2 linked regions of the Saccharomyces cerevisiae S288C genome follow. The protein of the gene in region 1 purifies or fractionates together with the protein of each later gene. This does not show direct contact. Each region holds a gene or a part of one and is shown on either strand. Other genes may lie near its edges.

Region 1 (8,511 bases):
TGTATCTCAATAGTTTCTAACGTGGTACTTTCAGCCATTTCCAATATTAGATGCCTGTGAAACTACTGTCAAACTTATTTGTGTAACAATACTCATCGTCTAATTTGTCCATTATTGTTATATACTCTGTCATAAAAAAAGAAAGAAAAATCTTATACTTTCGTCGACTGTGATTTGAAAATCTCTCCAGATCAAACGGGAATAAAAGGGTTTATATCCGAAGGTGGCCAGAACAATCATGAAGCAAATAGGATAAAAATAGCCAATAAGATGTTTGTTGTCTTTCATCCCAAAGTTCCAACAGCATATTTCAAAGATGGGTATTACAGTAATAGGTTCTCTAAACTATGATTTGGACACATTTACGGATAGATTACCTAACGCTGGAGAAACTTTCAGGGCTAACCACTTCGAAACACATGCTGGTGGTAAGGGATTGAACCAAGCTGCGGCCATTGGTAAATTAAAAAACCCCAGCAGCAGATATAGTGTTCGAATGATTGGTAATGTTGGAAATGATACATTTGGTAAACAATTGAAGGACACTTTATCCGATTGCGGAGTCGATATCACTCACGTCGGTACTTACGAAGGCATTAATACGGGTACCGCTACCATACTAATTGAAGAGAAAGCTGGTGGCCAAAATAGGATATTGATTGTAGAAGGTGCTAACAGCAAGACTATTTATGACCCGAAACAGTTGTGTGAAATTTTTCCAGAGGGCAAGGAGGAAGAAGAGTATGTTGTTTTTCAACACGAAATTCCTGATCCTCTTTCCATTATTAAATGGATACATGCGAACAGGCCGAATTTTCAGATCGTATATAACCCCTCACCTTTCAAGGCCATGCCTAAGAAAGATTGGGAGTTGGTAGACCTTTTGGTCGTTAATGAAATTGAGGGTCTTCAAATCGTGGAAAGTGTATTTGATAATGAACTTGTTGAAGAAATAAGGGAGAAGATAAAGGACGACTTTTTAGGAGAATATCGTAAAATTTGTGAGCTTTTGTATGAAAAACTCATGAATCGAAAGAAAAGAGGAATTGTGGTTATGACTTTGGGTTCGAGAGGGGTGCTTTTCTGTTCGCACGAAAGCCCTGAAGTACAATTCCTTCCGGCTATTCAAAATGTTTCGGTTGTTGATACTACAGGAGCTGGAGATACTTTCCTGGGCGGTTTGGTTACTCAATTGTATCAAGGAGAGACCTTGTCTACGGCTATAAAGTTCTCTACATTAGCTAGTTCATTGACCATTCAAAGAAAAGGTGCTGCTGAAAGCATGCCACTGTATAAAGATGTTCAGAAAGATGCATAAAATCTACTGCAATTTTTTACTTTTAGTTTGTTAAATTTTAGTTTTCGTCATATATATAAAGTTTAAAAAGGTACAAAGAATGCAGTAATAAGAAATGTAATTACATGAGGGCAGTTTAAGTGCTACCTTTTAAGACGGAAGAACTAATACCATAACCGAGAGTAATTACGCAGACAAACGCTAACAACGAAGCAGGAACACCTCTGGAGATAAAAGCGCCTACAGTTAGCCATCTATTACCCTTTTTATCGGTCATAGAAATAGCAGTAACGTTTGGAAATCCAGATGAAGCCAACCCCATACCGCATGAGGCTAACAAGGCGCAACCGAACACAAGAATTGGAGCTGCCTTTGGATCGGATAATTTGTCACCAACTTCTTGCACCAAGGGAATAATGATGATTGCTGACACAGTATGTGAGACAAAAGTGCCCACAACTAACATTAAAATACCGAAAATACATAAGATAGCAAAAACACCATCGTTCTGAATTTTCTTTTGTAATGCTCTTGCAATAGTTACCAACAAGCCTGAAGATGAAACTGCCTTACCAAGGGCTATACCACCCATAGCAAGAACAACAATTGACCAAGGGAATGTGTTGAAATCCTTTGTTGATAGTAGACCTGTACCAAAAAACAGGACTATCGGTATTACTGCAATTTCACCGGACGATCCAAAAGCACTTTCTATTTGTGACTCTACACACCATAGAAGAATAGTAGCAATAGTTACAATGATGATAAAATATTGCTTTATAGTAAATCTGGTCCTTATTGGTTTAAATTTTTCCAGTTTAGTTTTGCCTATTTTAAAGGTGAGTATCATCAAGGCCCAGGAGCACAGCATCGATAGAATACCTGTAGGCAGAGCGACAGCAAAAAATTGCCCCCAGCCGATTCCATAAGGTTTTAAGTACTGCATGGAGATGATATTCTGTGGCGAAGAAATAGGTGAAGCCATACCACCAATATCTGCCGAAAGTGCAACACCCATGACTAATGCCTTAGCAAACGGTGAAGTGTAGTCCAGCGGATCTAGTAAGGGTGTTAATAGAGAATATGTCAATACTGGGGAGGCAACGTTGGAAATCCACATCGAAAGAAAGAATACAACACTCATTGCCATTAAAAGGACATTTCTTGGCTTGGTACCTGCAAGGGCCAATAACCACGATGCCAAAACTTTCGCAACGTTATATTGCGACAAGGCTTCACCCAATGTGAAACCTGCTAATAAAATCATAATTGTTGACGACCACATTGTACCTAAGATTTCTGTAGAGGCAGCTGCTGCTCCCATTACCTTACCGTCATCGTCTTTTAGTACCCTAAAAAGGACAGTTAGAAGGGGAACCAATAAACCTGTGATGTGTAATGGAATGGCTTCACTAGCCCATAAGAAAGCACAGCATTCTACCAATGCCATACACCGGTGTTCGACAGGGTCATTGAAAGTTTTAACACCCAACAAAACACCTGTGACAATGATAATGAAGCCTATTTTCATTGCTCTTTTCCCAAAAAATAGCTTAGGAACTGCCAAATTTTCAATTTTAGTAAACTTCAAATTAATTGGCTTAGGCAATGGATACTTGAAATATTCAATTTGAAGCTTTTCTTGCATAAGTTTCTCAGCTTCATCTTCAATAGTTATTATATCGTTATTTTGCGAAGAGAGGCCCAACATGTCTTTCCATGTGTTGCTTCTTTCCCAAACAATGTGGTCGTGCAGGTACGACTTTAACTCTTGCTTGCATGAATCTACGTTCCCAGGCTGACCCATGAGAACAGCATAAAATTCAATAAGTTGTGCAATTTTACTGTTTAAACTGCTTAAAGTTTCATGCTGGAAGATGTAGGTGTCTTTGAAAAATTCTTCACTTTCTATTAATTCTTGCCTAGTGTTCATGTGCAATACTTTATCAGACTTCTTAGTAATTTTACTGAAACCCATTCTGTTCAATTCGATAAAAGATTTCAACTGGCAAAGGTCTATGTAAAGATTTATTATTGTCTGTTTTAATAATGACTTTTTCTGAGATTTAATGTTAAATTGCGAATAATTCAAGAGGGCGGTATTGTCGGTAGTGTCAGCAAACACGTCAACGTCATCATCTTCATCCATTTCTTCTTCGCTGTAATCAAACCTATTTCTCAATTCACTGTCGATGTTTGAAGAGTGTATTTCAAATGGGTTATTAGATGAATGTGTCTCTGATGTACCAGAAATAATTTCTCTTAAAGGAGGCAATGCTTGAATTTCAGGATTGAAAGTTTCATTCAATCTTGTTACAATGCCTTCCTTCTCCAAATCATTAATCAAGTGGTCAAATCTTTCATAGAACTTAGCTTCCATTCTTTTGTAGAAATCATCTACTTTCAATTTCTCGTCGCTCAGGTTAGTTACGAATGTATCATAAGAACTGAAGAGCGTCTTTCCCTCGCTACTCACAGATGAGCTGCGTGATTCAAAGAATTTCTTACGTATAAAATTCTTATTGAAAGAGGTGGTTTTCCCTTGAGGAGATAACTCGTCTAACTCAATTGTTTCCTCGTTAATATTGTTCCCATCTATGGCCTTTTCGTCGGAGTCTCCCCTTTTGCTTCCTGAAGGTGTTTTAGAACCAAAGAGCTTACGCTTGAGTTTATGTGTAAATCTTCTTTTCGATGAAGATGGTTCTCCTGCAGCTATGTTGCTTTCTATATCAGCGATTGGACCTGGAGTCTGAGAGTCAGCGTCATCGTTTAAGTCACCGGTTGGCGTTTCTTGTTTCAATTCATCTGTCTGTAATGTGTAGATCAAATTTTTCAATTCGTTATAATCTAGGTAATGATTCTGCCATTCAGGGACAGCGTTGTATTTGAGAAAGTGTGAGAATCTCATTTCGAGGCACAATAATAGCCGCCTTTACCGTAGTTTTGCTGCACCTTTATCTGAGAGCTGACTGCTTTTTTGGTGTGAAACACTGTTTTCTGGTAATAATTTTTCAATGCATCGGATTACTTTTCCCACGTGCGAAATCATCAATTAATTAGATTGAAAAAAGGGTAAGGGAAAATAAGAAAGAGGCGGTAGCCTAAAGATACGGTAATTGAAACGTTTCCTATGCACAATCTTAAACCTTTTTAGGTAATTGATTAAGTTGACTGTAATATCTGTAAAAGATTACATCTAATTTACGTCTGGTTTCTTATCAAAAAATATTATCTACTGTAGTTATGCAAGTATTCTTAATTTTCAGTACTAAACATGAATATTAATTATTTGTGAGCGTACAAGAAGCAAAAGGAAGTCATCTTTCTTTGAACAGTTCTGTTTTTAGGTAAGCCTTGGAACCTTAGCTATACTGACTTGATACGCCCTGTCTTTGTTGTCGTTATATAAAGTGTGCACCTTTATCATAGCCCCTAATAAGCTTCTTGCAGTAGTATTTGAACAGTGTATATCTTCATATTGCTTTTGTTGTAAATATTGCGCAAAAGCGACTATCTTTGTGATTTGGTTGAACTTTTGCATATTCACGTTATTACCATCTTTAGTGAATGTATCGTTTCCGTCTCTTATGAAGGTAATGTCCCTGATAAGCAGTGATGTAAAAGGTACACAAGGAAGCTGACTGTGGAAAATATGTTTAATTGTTCTTCTATAAACGTTGTAGTTGTTGTTTGGATGTACGACGACTTTTAGGCGCTGAAAAAGGTGGTCTGATTTAACATCTATCGGGAGAGATAGTCTTTCTATTGAATGATTTTGCAATGATGTAATGATTGAAGCAAGTGAGTTTAAGTTTCGTAAGTATAGACAAGACAGTGCAACTTGTAACCAGTAGGAAATGGTGTGCGTTTGCTGCAAAGTTGTCTCAAGAACGTAGGACGATAACTGGTTGGAAAGCGTAAACACGGAGTCAATTGTTGTATCGTTGTGTTTGAAATGTCTTGTGAATTCTATTGTTTCAATATCCAAGTAAAGAGAAGATTCTAAGAGAGTCAATGTCTTTGCAAGTGACCATGGAGATACGTTTAGAGCGAAGGCTTCGACTTCTAGAAGTTCACCCTGTTTCCATTGGAAAAGTAAATCACTGAGGTCAGTTGCACCGCACAATTCATCATTTGCGTTCGTTTTGTCTATCTCGTATTGGAGAAATAAGTTTTCGTAGTCCAGGGGCGGTTTATTTTCTTCGATTTCCTTATCAGTTAGACCAATGTAATGAATCTTCAATTGCCTCGTTCTTTTTTTGTTTATAAACAGCTGAACTATGTCTGCAAACAGTTCTTGGTATTCATAATATTCAGCCAAGTGACTGTACCAAAAATTGAGGATATCTTTTAATGTTGTCTCACTATCTTGCCAATAAGACTCTACCCAGATTTGTATTAGACGAGGGACGGAGTGATTTTTGTGTTTGTTTTTATTAATTGTGGGATAGGATAGTAGCAACTCTTGGAGGAGAGCATTGTCAGTTGTCCAGTCTCTGAAGTTAAGTAGTAAGTTTGCGGAGTCAAAGGGGGATGGCTTTTGCCATTTGTGAGAGTTGTGCGGCAGCATCTTATTCAAATAGAGCTGTATTCTGAAGACCTCTTGTAGAACATCATCCATACTAAAAAGTAAATCGTCCTGTCCCATTACGAGCTGTATTAGTGCTGTGACCCTCTGTATATTTACGTTGCCATGAAGAAGGTAATGGGCGATATTTTGATACAATTCCTGAGTTGCATGTTGGATTGAGTTTACGAAGGGTCGCCAGACGGCCAGAAACCTCCAGGCGGAGTTAACAACTAGTAATACGGCATCCATGTTTGCATCAGCGCCGAGCCTATACCAGTCACTGAGTAGACGTTTTCTTGCTCTTTTTATGTCCTGACTTCTTTTGACGAGGGGGCATTCTCTAGAGACACAGGCAGTTGCTTCCAGCAACTGCCGTACGGCCGTTCTCATGCTGTCGAGGATTTTTTTTGGGACGATATTGTCATTATAGGGCAGTGTGTGACTTATGAATTGTTGTAGAAGGACGTCTGTGATGTTGGAGATATGTATTTTGTTAACTCTTCTTGAGACGATTTGGCCCTGGATAGCGAAGCGTGCGGTTACAAATAGGTCGTCTTGTTCAAGAAGGTAGGCGAGGACATTATCTATCAGTACAAACATCTTAGTAGTGTCTGAGGAGAGGGTTGATTGTTTATGTATTTTTGCGAAATATATATATATATATTCTACACAGATATATACATATTTGTTTTTCGGGCTCATTCTTTCTTCTTTGCCAGAGGCTCACCGCTCAAGAGGTCCGCTAATTCTGGAGCGATTGTTATTGTTTTTTCTTTTCTTCTTCTATTCGAAACCCAGTTTTTGATTTGAATGCGAGATAAACTGGTATTCTTCATTAGATTCTCTAGGCCCTTGGTATCTAGATATGGGTTCTCGATGTTCTTTGCAAACCAACTTTCTAGTATTCGGACATTTTCTTTTGTAAACCGGTGTCCTCTGTAAGGTTTAGTACTTTTGTTTATCATATCTTGAGTTACCACATTAAATACCAACCCATCCGCCGATTTATTTTTCTGTGTAAGTTGATAATTACTTCTATCGTTTTCTATGCTGCGCATTTCTTTGAGTAATACAGTAATGGTAGTAGTGAGTTGAGATGTTGTTTGCAACAACTTCTTCTCCTCATCACTAATCTTACGGTTTTTGTTGGCCCTAGATAAGAATCCTAATATATCCCTTAATTCAACTTCTTCTTCTGTTGTTACACTCTCTGGTAACTTAGGTAAATTACAGCAAATAGAAAAGAGCTTTTTATTTATGTCTAGTATGCTGGATTTAAACTCATCTGTGATTTGTGGATTTAAAAGGTCTTTAATGGGTATTTTATTCATTTTTTCTTGCTTATCTTCCTTTTTTTCTTGCCCACTTCTAAGCTGATTTCAATCTCTCCTTTATATATATTTTTAAGTTCCAACATTTTATGTTTCAAAACATTAATGATGTCTGGGTTTTGTTTGGGATGCAATTTATTGCTTCCCAATGTAGAAAAGTACATCATATGAAACAACTTAAACTCTTAACTACTTCTTTTAACCTTCACTTTTTATGAAATGTATCAACCATATATAATAACTTAATAGACGACATTCACAATATGTTTACTTCGAAGCCTGCTTTCAAAATTAAGAACAAAGCATCCAAATCATACAGAAACACAGCGGTTTCAAAAAAGCTGAAAGAAAAACGTCTAGCTGAGCATGTGAGGCCAAGCTGCTTCAATATTATTCGACCACTCAAGAAAGATATCCAGATTCCTGTTCCTTCCTCTCGATTTTTAAATAAAATCCAAATTCACAGGATAGCGTCTGGAAGTCAAAATACTCAGTTTCGACAGTTCAATAAGACATCTATAAAATCTTCAAAGAAATATTTAAACTCATTTATGGCTTTTAGAGCATATTACTCACAGTTTGGCTCCGGTGTAAAACAAAATGTCTTGTCTTCTCTGCTCGCTGAAGAATGGCACGCGGACAAAATGCAGCACGGAATATGGGACTACTTCGCGCAACAGTATAATTTTATAAACCCTGGTTTTGGTTTTGTAGAGTGGTTGACGAATAATTATGCTGAAGTACGTGGTGACGGATATTGGGAAGATGTGTTTGTACATTTGGCCTTATAGAGTGTGGTCGTGGCGGAGGTTGTTTATCTTTCGAGTACTGAATGTTGTCAGTATAGCTATCCTATTTGAAACTCCCCATCGTCTTGCTCTTGTTCCCAATGTTTGTTTATACACTCATATGGCTATACCCTTATCTACTTGCCTCTTTTGTTTATGTCTATGTATTTGTATAAAATATGATATTACTCAGACTCAAGCAAACAATCAATTCTTAGCATCATTCTTTGTTCTTATCTTAACCATAAACGATCTTGATGTGACTTTTGTAATTTGAACGAATTGGCTATACGGGACGGATGACAAATGCACCATTACTCTAGGTTGTTGTTGGATCTTAACAAACCGTAAAGGTAAACTGCCCATGCGGTTCACATGACTTTTGACTTTCCTTTGTTTGCTAGTTACCTTCGGCTTCACAATTTGTTTTTCCACTTTTCTAACAGGTTTATCACCTTTCAAACTTATCTTTATCTTATTCGCCTTCTTGGGTGCCTCCACAGTAGAGGTTACTTCCTTTTTAAT
Region 2 (9,837 bases), on another chromosome or scaffold:
TTGTGCCCACGTTCTCTGGATAACTCAACCACTCTGTGCATGGCCTCGAAAGCCTGCGACTGAGGGATAGGCTCGGCTCTCCAAGTCAAACTCATTAAACCATAGCCAGTATCTAACTTGTGGATGTTGTTTTTCAAATCGGCGACAGACATTTTATTTTTACTTTTTTTGGTGTATATTTTAGTTAATATGTACCTGTTTTTCTATTCTACATAACATAGAAAATGGCAAGGAAAATAATTTTAAGAGAGAGTCCTGAGATGAAGTAAAAAATTTGGTAAATTGACAACCCCTTATATAATAAATGCCTATTCTACGGTTCAATAGACACTCTATTCTTTGAGTAATTTTGAGGGAGAGCAGCAATGATTAACTTAGTACCGTTCTACCAAGTACGCCCTTGATTACCTCATTAACGAACAAAAACGCAGATCCCTTCCTAAGGCGGCCGAGACGGCCGCTTCATCCGTCTCGGCCGGGTGTCATTCTTCTAATATATTTGGTAAAGGACTTGGGAGATGCGCAAAAGGGAGATAGTTGCGCTTTTTTTTTGTCTAACAACTAACGGGTAAAAATGTGGACAGCACGAGGAGTAGTTTAAGAAATAACTTTAAAAAAAAATATTGGCAAAGCAGATATGCAAGAAGTTACGGGTAAGGCTTCTAGTAGTCGTGCATGTGTTGATCCCCTACGTTGATACTATCTATGTGTGCAAACACCAGCTTTACAAACAAAAATTTCATATAGTAGTGTATTTTATTTATCTTATGTACAAAATCTATAGTAGAGTTCACTACATTTTCTTTTCATTGCTAAAAAAGCAGTTTCGTGCAAGTATGTATAAAAAGAATGTTGGCGAGAGTAGCGGAGAGTGTATCGTGCGGTTTAATGGGCCAGGTGAAAACTGGGTTACTTCTCTTTGATGGCAGCGGCTTCTCCGATAGGCTTGGTGTCATGCGGTTTTACGTCTGGAGCAGCCGCATCTATGTTCTTGTCTTGGTCGTCCAAGCTCAACTCATCCTTGACGCTCACAATGGCGTTCTCTTCTTGCTGCTCTTCTTCCTTCATAATTTCTTCTTGCTCCCTCAATTGTTTCAATTTTTGCTTAGCGGATGCCTCATCTTCCTTAACGACGTTTACTTTAACCTCATGGTATAGTTCATCAGGGATACCGATTAAAACGTCACATAATGCGTCGTACAATGACTCCTTTGATTGCACATTACCGTAGTTATAGGCAGTAGCCATGATTAACAGCGTGGATGGGATCTTATCCTTGAGCCTCATGTTCAGCCACAATCTTAGATTCGAATATAACACGCTAGGCTCTACGTCTACACTTCTAATACCTCTGGAGGCGCATGCTGTTTTCAATTCAGAGAGGGAGAGTTGTTCTGCATCCTCGTAATATATAGATAGATCATCTTTTTTCAATTCAAGCATTTTGTATCTGATACGGTAACGTAGCATCACATCAGTGCCGAATGGTTGCAAATTCATATACTTCGCTAATGCAATCAAGTAAGGTCTTGTCACATTATCCAATACAGTATCATCAGTGAATAATCTAGCTACTTCGATTAGCTGTTGACGAGACTCCGGCACTCCTGTAGCACGGACATGTGTGTAGAACCTGTTAAACAAAGCTTTTTGTTCCTCGGAAATATTATTAGGTTTAAAATGGGACTTGTTATTCTTTATGATTTCAGACATTAACTTCCTTGTGTTTCTTAAATTTTCTAGTTTATTCTCGCGTTTTTTACTTGATTCATAAGTAGAAGGAAGTAAATTGGGGAATAACTTTAATGCAAATGGAAGAAGAAGTTCAGCAAAGGGTATAATGAGGAAAGCAGCAAATGGAACCAACCGAACGATATCTTGAGTAGTTCTTTTCAGTTGTAAATTTTCTCTTCTCGTCAATGGGTAGCCTGCAGCACTCTTCATGAGCAATTTGGAAGAAATTTTTATCTCCAACCCCAAAAGTTTGGAACCATCCCAATAATGACGAAGGGCTTTTTGCATCTTAACCTTAAAGGGTACTTTTTCCTTCTCTTTTACTGGAGAGACCTTACTCGCACTTTCTTGGTTTCCGTCTGTCGTTTTTAACTCCTTTTTCGAGCTTTCTGGCACCGAAGAGTTCCAACGATTGAACTTCAAATTAAAAGATGGTATTACTCTCAACCTGCTTACCATAATACGGGGAGAAATTGGAGTAATTCCTGGTGCCGGATGATGGATTGCTCTCTTGATTGGCAAAGACCTGTATTTCAGCATTGTGTCTTGTTGATTTCTTTATGAAATTTTCTTTACTCGAACCTAAATATCACTGGCAAAATACTTTCAATTCGACAAGTGTTACTTTATGCAGTTATCTTGTTATTTCGAAAATTGCCACTTTGCCAATTAGATGAGACTGACACGATCTGAATAATGTCCTCTTTCAAATAAAAGTGGAAAATGTTCGCGCGGAAGCAATTCTGTCCAACGAGAAAAAAGAAACGTGGGAGACAACGGTAACTCGATGAAGGCAAGCAAGTATCATTTTTAACACTTCACTCTTATTATTGCAAGGTGGTAATATAGTTAAGGATTTTTGAATTAAAATTACTTAGACATTCAACTATATACAAGTCTGTTATTTATAGGAAGGTCGCTGTGTCTATTATTTTCTTTCCTCTTCATGAGGGCATTAGAAGTATCCATTTTGAGATTTTTTTTGAGCTTCTGAGAAATGAACGATATTCTTATTTTGATGTATAGAGATATTGGAAGAAGAAGATATAGGTGGACGAACCTTGTCTAGTTATTAGTTATGAGTGAATTTTTCGGCCGGAAGTAAGTTTTGATCCATATTCCCGGACTGTTCCTGCAACTTGGAATTCTCAAGGATGTCGCGCTCTATGTTTGCTTGATTCTTTCCTGAGTCTGTGGCACAATTACATCCCTCTTCTTGTGTAGGTGTTTTCTTTTGATTATTTTCGGAAATCGCAACTTTAGATTCGTTGTTCTTTTCCAGGCGAGTACTTTGATCACTTCCGGAAGTGGTATCGGCAACAGCAATTGGATCAGGGCTGGGTTCGGGATGTCTACCACATTGGCAGTTACCGAAGCCAGGACAGCTCTTCGCTTTCTGAATTTCTCTTTGGATGTCCCACCTCTTTAGCATGGCTATTTTGCATCTATTGAAGAAGACTTCCGATAAAGCTAACCCAGTAATTACAGCAAAAACGTATGTTAAAACAAAAGACATGGTAGCAAGCATCAACATATAAATAATCATCGTAGAGGTAAATACTAAGAACGCCCTTATAATGTCATGAAAGAGATCCATTAAAGATGGAACAAATATATCGCTTAATAAATTTGGCAGCTTAGGTAAACCTTGAATTTCAAAATTATTCTCTGTGTCATAATGTTTTCCTTCGTCTTTGGAGTTTGCTGAAGGTAAAGTGGAATATTTATTTTGCTTGTCCCATTTTTTAAACCAGTGAACTTCAAGGCACCAACTAACGAAAAGCAGTAGTTTGTAGACGAAAGCAGCCACAACAAATAATAAGAAAATACCGAAAGCCTTACCACTATTGTTTGCATGCAAATGGTGAAACAAAACTGGATAGTTTTTATATGTGGGAGTCAGATAATAGTTCATTCCCATACTCATGTCCATATCCATCCCTGAAGAGCTACTGTTATCAGACGATGACATACCTGACATGCCTGACATGCTAGAATCAGAAGTTGTCTGTGCACTGGCGGAGCTTGTTGGTGTACTGCTCATCGACATAGACATACCTGACATTGAACTGCTTCCCATCGACATACTTGCCATTGACGACATAGTCGACGCCAACGTTTTGCTCGCACTGGACATCGCTTCCATGCTCATCGATGACATGCTCGATAATATCGTTTTGCTGGCACTAGACATCGCATCCATGCTCATCGACGCCATACTCGATGCTACTGTCTTGGATGCACTAGACATGGCGTCCATATTCATGCTGCTACCCATATTCATACCTTCCATTTTGAATGTCAAATATAATACACTTTTTTTTATTTTCTATTCGATTCTTCCAACAAATGTAATTTGAGTCGCCGCCGAACTATTACTCCACCTGTTTAAGTTTGTGCTTAAAAGTTTTGTTATGCAAATAAAGCTATGGAGTAGTTGTTTATTAAGAGCACACTGCGTATCTGTTTTACTAATGTGAACTAATCATAAGAGGAATAAAACATACAAGACCCTCTCGAGATGACAATACAACATTTTTTATGTTGCATTTTGTAGCCCGAATCTTGAAAAGTGCTCTTTTCAGGATCGTGCCATTTTTGCTCATTTTACCGTCGTCTTGAGCAAATATCCCATGATTTGCATCAATACATGAGAACATAACCACAGTAACGAATAGTTGAGGTGCAGTTTCGATCCTTAAAAATTACTGAATAATTCATATGCTATTTAGGGAAGTATTTACGTATCGGTTTGTAGTATAGTAGGGAAATGTGCCAAGTTGCTTAGATAACAAAAACGTGGAAAGGCTGGAACGAGCAAAATACGGTTCAAAATGCGGCCTTGCGGAAAAAGTTTGGTTCAGGAAGCTCCTGAAGAGGAACAATCGGACTTGTGTCGTTGTTCCAAAATTTTTCTATTTCTTGTCCTTCACCATCTTGGGAAGAAAACCCTAATATAGAGCCGTATCTCTGCTTAAGATTCATTCCGATGATTTTCAATATTTCCTGCAATACAACGGTTCCGAGCTTGAAAACTTCATTTCTCCTACGAAAATAAGTAAAAAGGTTCTTTACAAGTAAAATAGGATTTCCCTTTGAATGTTCGACAATTTTCTTCAAGTCTTCATTTTTTATGGCGAATCCGTTTATTTTCAGAAAGGCCTCTAGCTGAAGGAACATTTTCCTGCTTGCAATTTCCTTCTCTGCCATTGGACTTGTGATCATTATTGATAGCTTACTTCTTTGAGCGGAATATATAGAGATTTTGGACTCGAAGAATGCTAAATATTTCTTTAGAGTTAATTTTTGCAAAAATGAGATATCAATCATTTCATGATCTTCTTGAAAATTAAGCCTTCCTTCCGCAATTTTATTTCTTACCTTCCTATGTTGTCTCATTTGTTTATTGTTGAGAGTGTAATTATCACCATTTTGCACATTTGCCACTATCTCATTTAATAGGTCTACAGGACCAGCCGACCCTTCAAACTGTTTCGTACTGTTCTGTTTTAAAAGATTTAAGAACGGCTCTAGAAGTATCCTTCGAAAATCAAACTCGGTGAATCTATTTAGCACCTGCAGCTGCAAGTAAGATAAGTACTCATTGATCCTAGTTTCCAGATTGTGCCCCGAGCTGCCAGACATTACGGTTATATGAATCCCAACAGTGTCTGTTAAAACCCTGAGTCCTCCCAAAACAATGTACCCAATTTGCTTTTTATTTCTTAGATCAGGCACTAGCGTTAGTGAAAATAGATATTCGGTAAGAAAGGTTAGTGTCAGATTTTTGATGTCATCTCTTTGTGCAGTCTGAATAAAATACACAATACTATTGTTGGGATCATCCTGGTGACCATTATATGATATAAAGGCATTTGTGCCTTGATCTAGATCTTTTGTACTGGGAGGAGGGTAGAGACGTATGGTCGGTTTGCTCCCTTCATTGCTGATTTTTAGGTGCTGCGTAAAATTGTTATTTAAGTAACGGTTGATTGCGTCAGCATATTCAAGGCTTCCCTGCATGAACAAGACCAAATGTTTAGGATTCCTCCAGAATAAAAAACAAAATTTTTCGAAGGATTCCAACTCGGTAAGCTCTAATGCATTAATTCTATCCTCTAAAGTCCATATATATTTCTCTAAAACAATCAGCAATCCAACGCTAGCTAGCTTCACGCAGTTGTCCGATGACGCGTTCTTGTATTTATTTCTAACTAAAATCCTTGCCTTTCTCAAGGTATCTTTAGAAAGAAACGTTGGATCTGTTGCAATAAGTTTTAGCGTATCCACGAACGTCTTTACTATTGTGAAAACACCCTCAGGGAATCCAGAAATAGTAAATCGCAGTGTTACGTTGCCCTTACTAGATGAGGCAATCTCATATGTGTAACCAATTCTCAGAGCGGGATAAAGGAATGAAGAGGTGATGATAAATAATGCCTGTGCTAGTACTTCCAGGTGGATTGTTGCCTCCGGACTAGGTTTGATGCCTAACCCCAAAACTTCAAATGATACGACGGATTTATTGTCTGAGGCAAAATTTGGGTCTTCTTTTAAGATCCACATCTCATAATTCTGGTTCTCACTGACTAATTGAGGCTTTGTCCTAGTGGGCTCACTATAAATTTGAGGTCTAAGCGTAGCAAATTTCGATTTTAACGAGCATTCTAAGAAGAGCTGTTGTAGTTTTAAAGGATCGCTGACGCAATCTGGTAAAAAAAGATTACCTGTGGGAAAATTAAATTCATACGAGCTGTTTGAATGAAATTTATTATCACTTGCTAGATGAACGTTTGCCGTATAATACTCAAATTCATAGAAAAAATCGGTGCATATATCACTTTTATTTTTCATTTTATCAAATATATTACCAGATTTTATATTCCCTAAGAGTAAAAGGCGCATGTTGTCATGATTCATGAAAGATTTTAAAAAATTTTGGAACTTAATAGCTTGCCCTGTCCACCATTGTATATTGGCCTTTGTGTTTTCATATTTTTCGATGTTGGGATCATCTATTTCTATAAGAGATTTAAATCCTTTGAATATATTAGGGGGGGTTAAACATTCTAAATCGTCCTGAAGAATACCGCTTAATTTTGAGCACTCTTCCATTGGAAGATCCTCTGAACTTTGGTACAGAAAGCTAACGAGGTCGATCAAATTCTGTTCTTTCAAAAAAGTGATTAAGTAATCGATGTTCATTACGTAAAAGGAAGGCAAGAGTCTATTAAGTACTATTGTCGTAATTCTCTTAATATTTTCCCAGCCACTGTTTGTCAGTTCTAATTCCAAAATTAATCCTATGTCACCAATAGCGAATTCTGAGGTAAAGGCAAAACAGCCTGTGAGCCAGCCTTTTGAAGCTAAGTAATAGCTCAAAGATCCTGGAGACTCATCGCCGAAAAGTTCACACCAAAGATGACTGTATATTTTAATGTCATCCTTTGTAAACCGAGTGTTTTTATCGCTAACAGGAAAGAGAAGTCTCATTATAGGTACCTTATTTGAATTGATAAATATCGAATTGCATTCAGGAAATTGTTGAAAACACATCGTATTTTTGTATTTTTTTTCCCACGTTGTGTTCAGTATTTTAAAGGTTTTCAAGTCACTGTAGTCGTTTTTGGAAGAATCTTGGCGTTTTTTTAAAGACTTCGATCTTCGAAATGACCTCGTCCTAATCGATATACTCCTTTCCTTTACAGCGCTTTTGGGTTTTATATCGCCAAATTTTGATAGAGCTAGTTTCGTAAGAATATTAACAGACTGCGGTCCCCTTATGCACAAGGTTATATTCTCCCCAAAAAAATTATTTTCGAAGTAAGTGTTTAATGAGCTCTTTAGTTTTATTTTTTTCAGTTGTGGAATGCTAGATAACGAGTGTATGTTCCCAGTGGAAAAGCGACTGAAAGGATGGTCGGGATTGGCCAATATTCTTGCTGCGTGGTAGAATATTTTTGTGGTTGATGATATGTTTCCCTCATGCTCACTTTGTATTGCATATATCTCCTTGCTTATCAGTAAAGGGTTGAAGAGCGGTTCTTTGAAGAATGAGGCAAACACATCTAAGATAGATTCAAATGTAAATTCGCCGTTATTTTGAGTATTGGGCAATTCAAAATAAAAAGTCGTTTGCTCCCCTGTGGTAAAGGCATTTTGAGAGCCGTTGTTTTTTGCGATTAGTGTGTGGAATAAACCAGGATCAGGGTATTTTTTGGAACCGGCAGAAAGAATCATGTGCTCACAAAGGTGCGCCAAACCGGCAATATCCTTTGGATCGTTATGGGAACCTGTGCAAACAGTCAGTGAGCATGAGCTTGAAGTATCTGTTGGATCCGATATTATTAATGCTAAAATTCCGTTTGGCAGTTTACAAACTTTATGAGTCCTGTTGCTGTAAGACAACGGGATGTAAAACGAGACTTCATAATTAGTTACTTCTCTCAAGGACATCAGTAAAAAAACTTATTCAGTTGCTATTTTTTAACGCCAGGCACATTTATATTATATAATCAAGACACAAAAGGATAAAACAAAGGTGTTAACTGTTCTGCATACTCACCAGCGTAAACTATCCTGAAAATCGTGTAAATAAGTGTTTCATTTTTTTCTTGCAGTGAAAAAAGGCATGTAAAATACCGCATCAAGTAACTCCGCCTGCGGTTTCAAGATTAACGGCTTGAGACAAAATGGGACACTTACTCATGCAAAGTGGGAAGAAATGATTGCAGAAAAACCATATGTGTAACAGAAAAAAGTTGGATAGTGCTTACCAGATGTTTACCTTAATTTCTTGATGGATGAAAGAAGTATAGAAGTTTTACTATTAATCCAACCATCGGAAATTTGTATAGGAAAGTAGTTTATTGGAGTTATTGGATATACTGTGTAAACTATTTCTCGAAATGGTGTCCTTAGATTCTCTTCTTGTTCTATTGAAGAAAAATGGTATCCTTTTTTTAGACAATGTATCATAATACCATAATACGAATACTCTTCAGTGACGATAGTCAATTCCTTCAATTTAGCAAATTTTTAAGGTAGAACAACATACGGTTACAATATATAAGCAGGCACAGAAAGTCATACTGCTGAATTAATGCGTACTCGAATAATACCGGGTATCTAACTATATACGTTTTAATATTATATTGATATTATTCTGAGGCAACTATATTTCCAACACTATATTTTATTTTTCCTTTATTAATCCAACTCGGAAATTCCTTCCTTAATATATCGAGTCTTACGTGTGCGATAATGCGAATGTTCCGTATGTTGGAGTTAAACTCCTATTTCATGGACTAGCGCTCATGCCACTGATATAATGTCATACATGCGTTATGATATTACATAAACGATGAGAAACAGCCGTCGACTTTGGTGGAAGCAGAAATGCAAAAGTTGATAATATAATAGGATTGATAGTGAAATAGGATCGATGAATAGACCATTTAATACGTAAAAAGAAGAAACTTTTTTGTTATCCCGAAATTTTTGTTTCCTTTACGAATTTATATATCTTCGAGAAGATGTCTTAATATACTCTAAATAACTAATAATGCACTCTTTATCAGAATGTACCTCGAAAAGTGTTCAGCAAATTCAAGCAATTGTCAGAAATAATGTCGGAAACAATGGTTTTTGATTATCTGCGCATGTACTATTGCCAACAAGTAAAATGTTTCCACTGTAAATACACAAATCAAACTGTTTACGTGACATTGTACAATTGTAGAATAAGAAAAATGTTGAGCATTCCGTTCAGATAGTAATGAAAAGCAAACTAAGATTTTTGTAACGAATATCAACCTGAAGTTAACATTTATGGAGTATCAATACTTACATTGAATCTGCGGTGAATTGACCAACCTACTATTATATTATCAATGGATTTGTTTTAGCTTTTAGGAATCTCTGTCACTTTGATTTATATTATAAACATTGCATGGTATTGTACCCTAGCAGCAAATTCAAAAATGTATTAATTTACCATGCTAGCAAATGGAAACAATAGTTAGTCATCCTTCTAGAAGTTGAAAAAATGAAATGAACATAATTTATATTTCCAAAGGATCTCTTTATAAATTGATATAATAG

Evidence for each region.
Region 2: the proteins of BUD5 (region 1) and AXL1 purify together in Saccharomyces cerevisiae (affinity purification with western blotting; 3 studies listed by BioGRID). This does not show direct contact.

Annotation. Positions count from the first base shown.
Region 1 is NC_001135.5:192,981-201,491, forward strand, and holds BUD5 (Ras family guanine nucleotide exchange factor BUD5), read right to left. Parts: upstream 6,570-8,511; coding exon 4,641-6,569; downstream 1-4,640. Other genes in the region: exosome non-catalytic core subunit RRP43, read right to left, coding at 1-38; RBK1 (putative ribokinase), read left to right, coding at 317-1,318; PHO87 (SPX domain-containing inorganic phosphate transporter), read right to left, coding at 1,434-4,205; MATALPHA2 (homeodomain mating type protein alpha2), read right to left, coding at 6,566-7,198; MATALPHA1 (transcriptional co-activator mating type protein alpha), read left to right, coding at 7,462-7,989; YCR041W (uncharacterized protein), read left to right, coding at 7,931-8,263; transcription initiation factor TFIID subunit TAF2, read right to left, coding at 8,194-8,511. UniProt on the Saccharomyces cerevisiae protein: GDP-GTP exchange factor (GEF) for the small GTPase BUD1/RSR1. Regulates the activity of BUD1 together with BUD2 which is a GTPase-activating protein (GAP) of BUD1. Required to produce both the axial and bipolar patterns of bud site selection.
Region 2 is NC_001148.4:780,398-790,234, reverse strand, and holds AXL1 (Axl1p), read right to left. Parts: upstream 8,191-9,837; coding exon 4,564-8,190; downstream 1-4,563. Other genes in the region: YPR127W (pyridoxine 4-dehydrogenase), read right to left, coding at 1-152; YLH47 (Ylh47p), read right to left, coding at 910-2,274; high-affinity Cu transporter CTR1, read right to left, coding at 2,807-4,027. UniProt on the Saccharomyces cerevisiae protein: Probable protease. Involved in axial budding.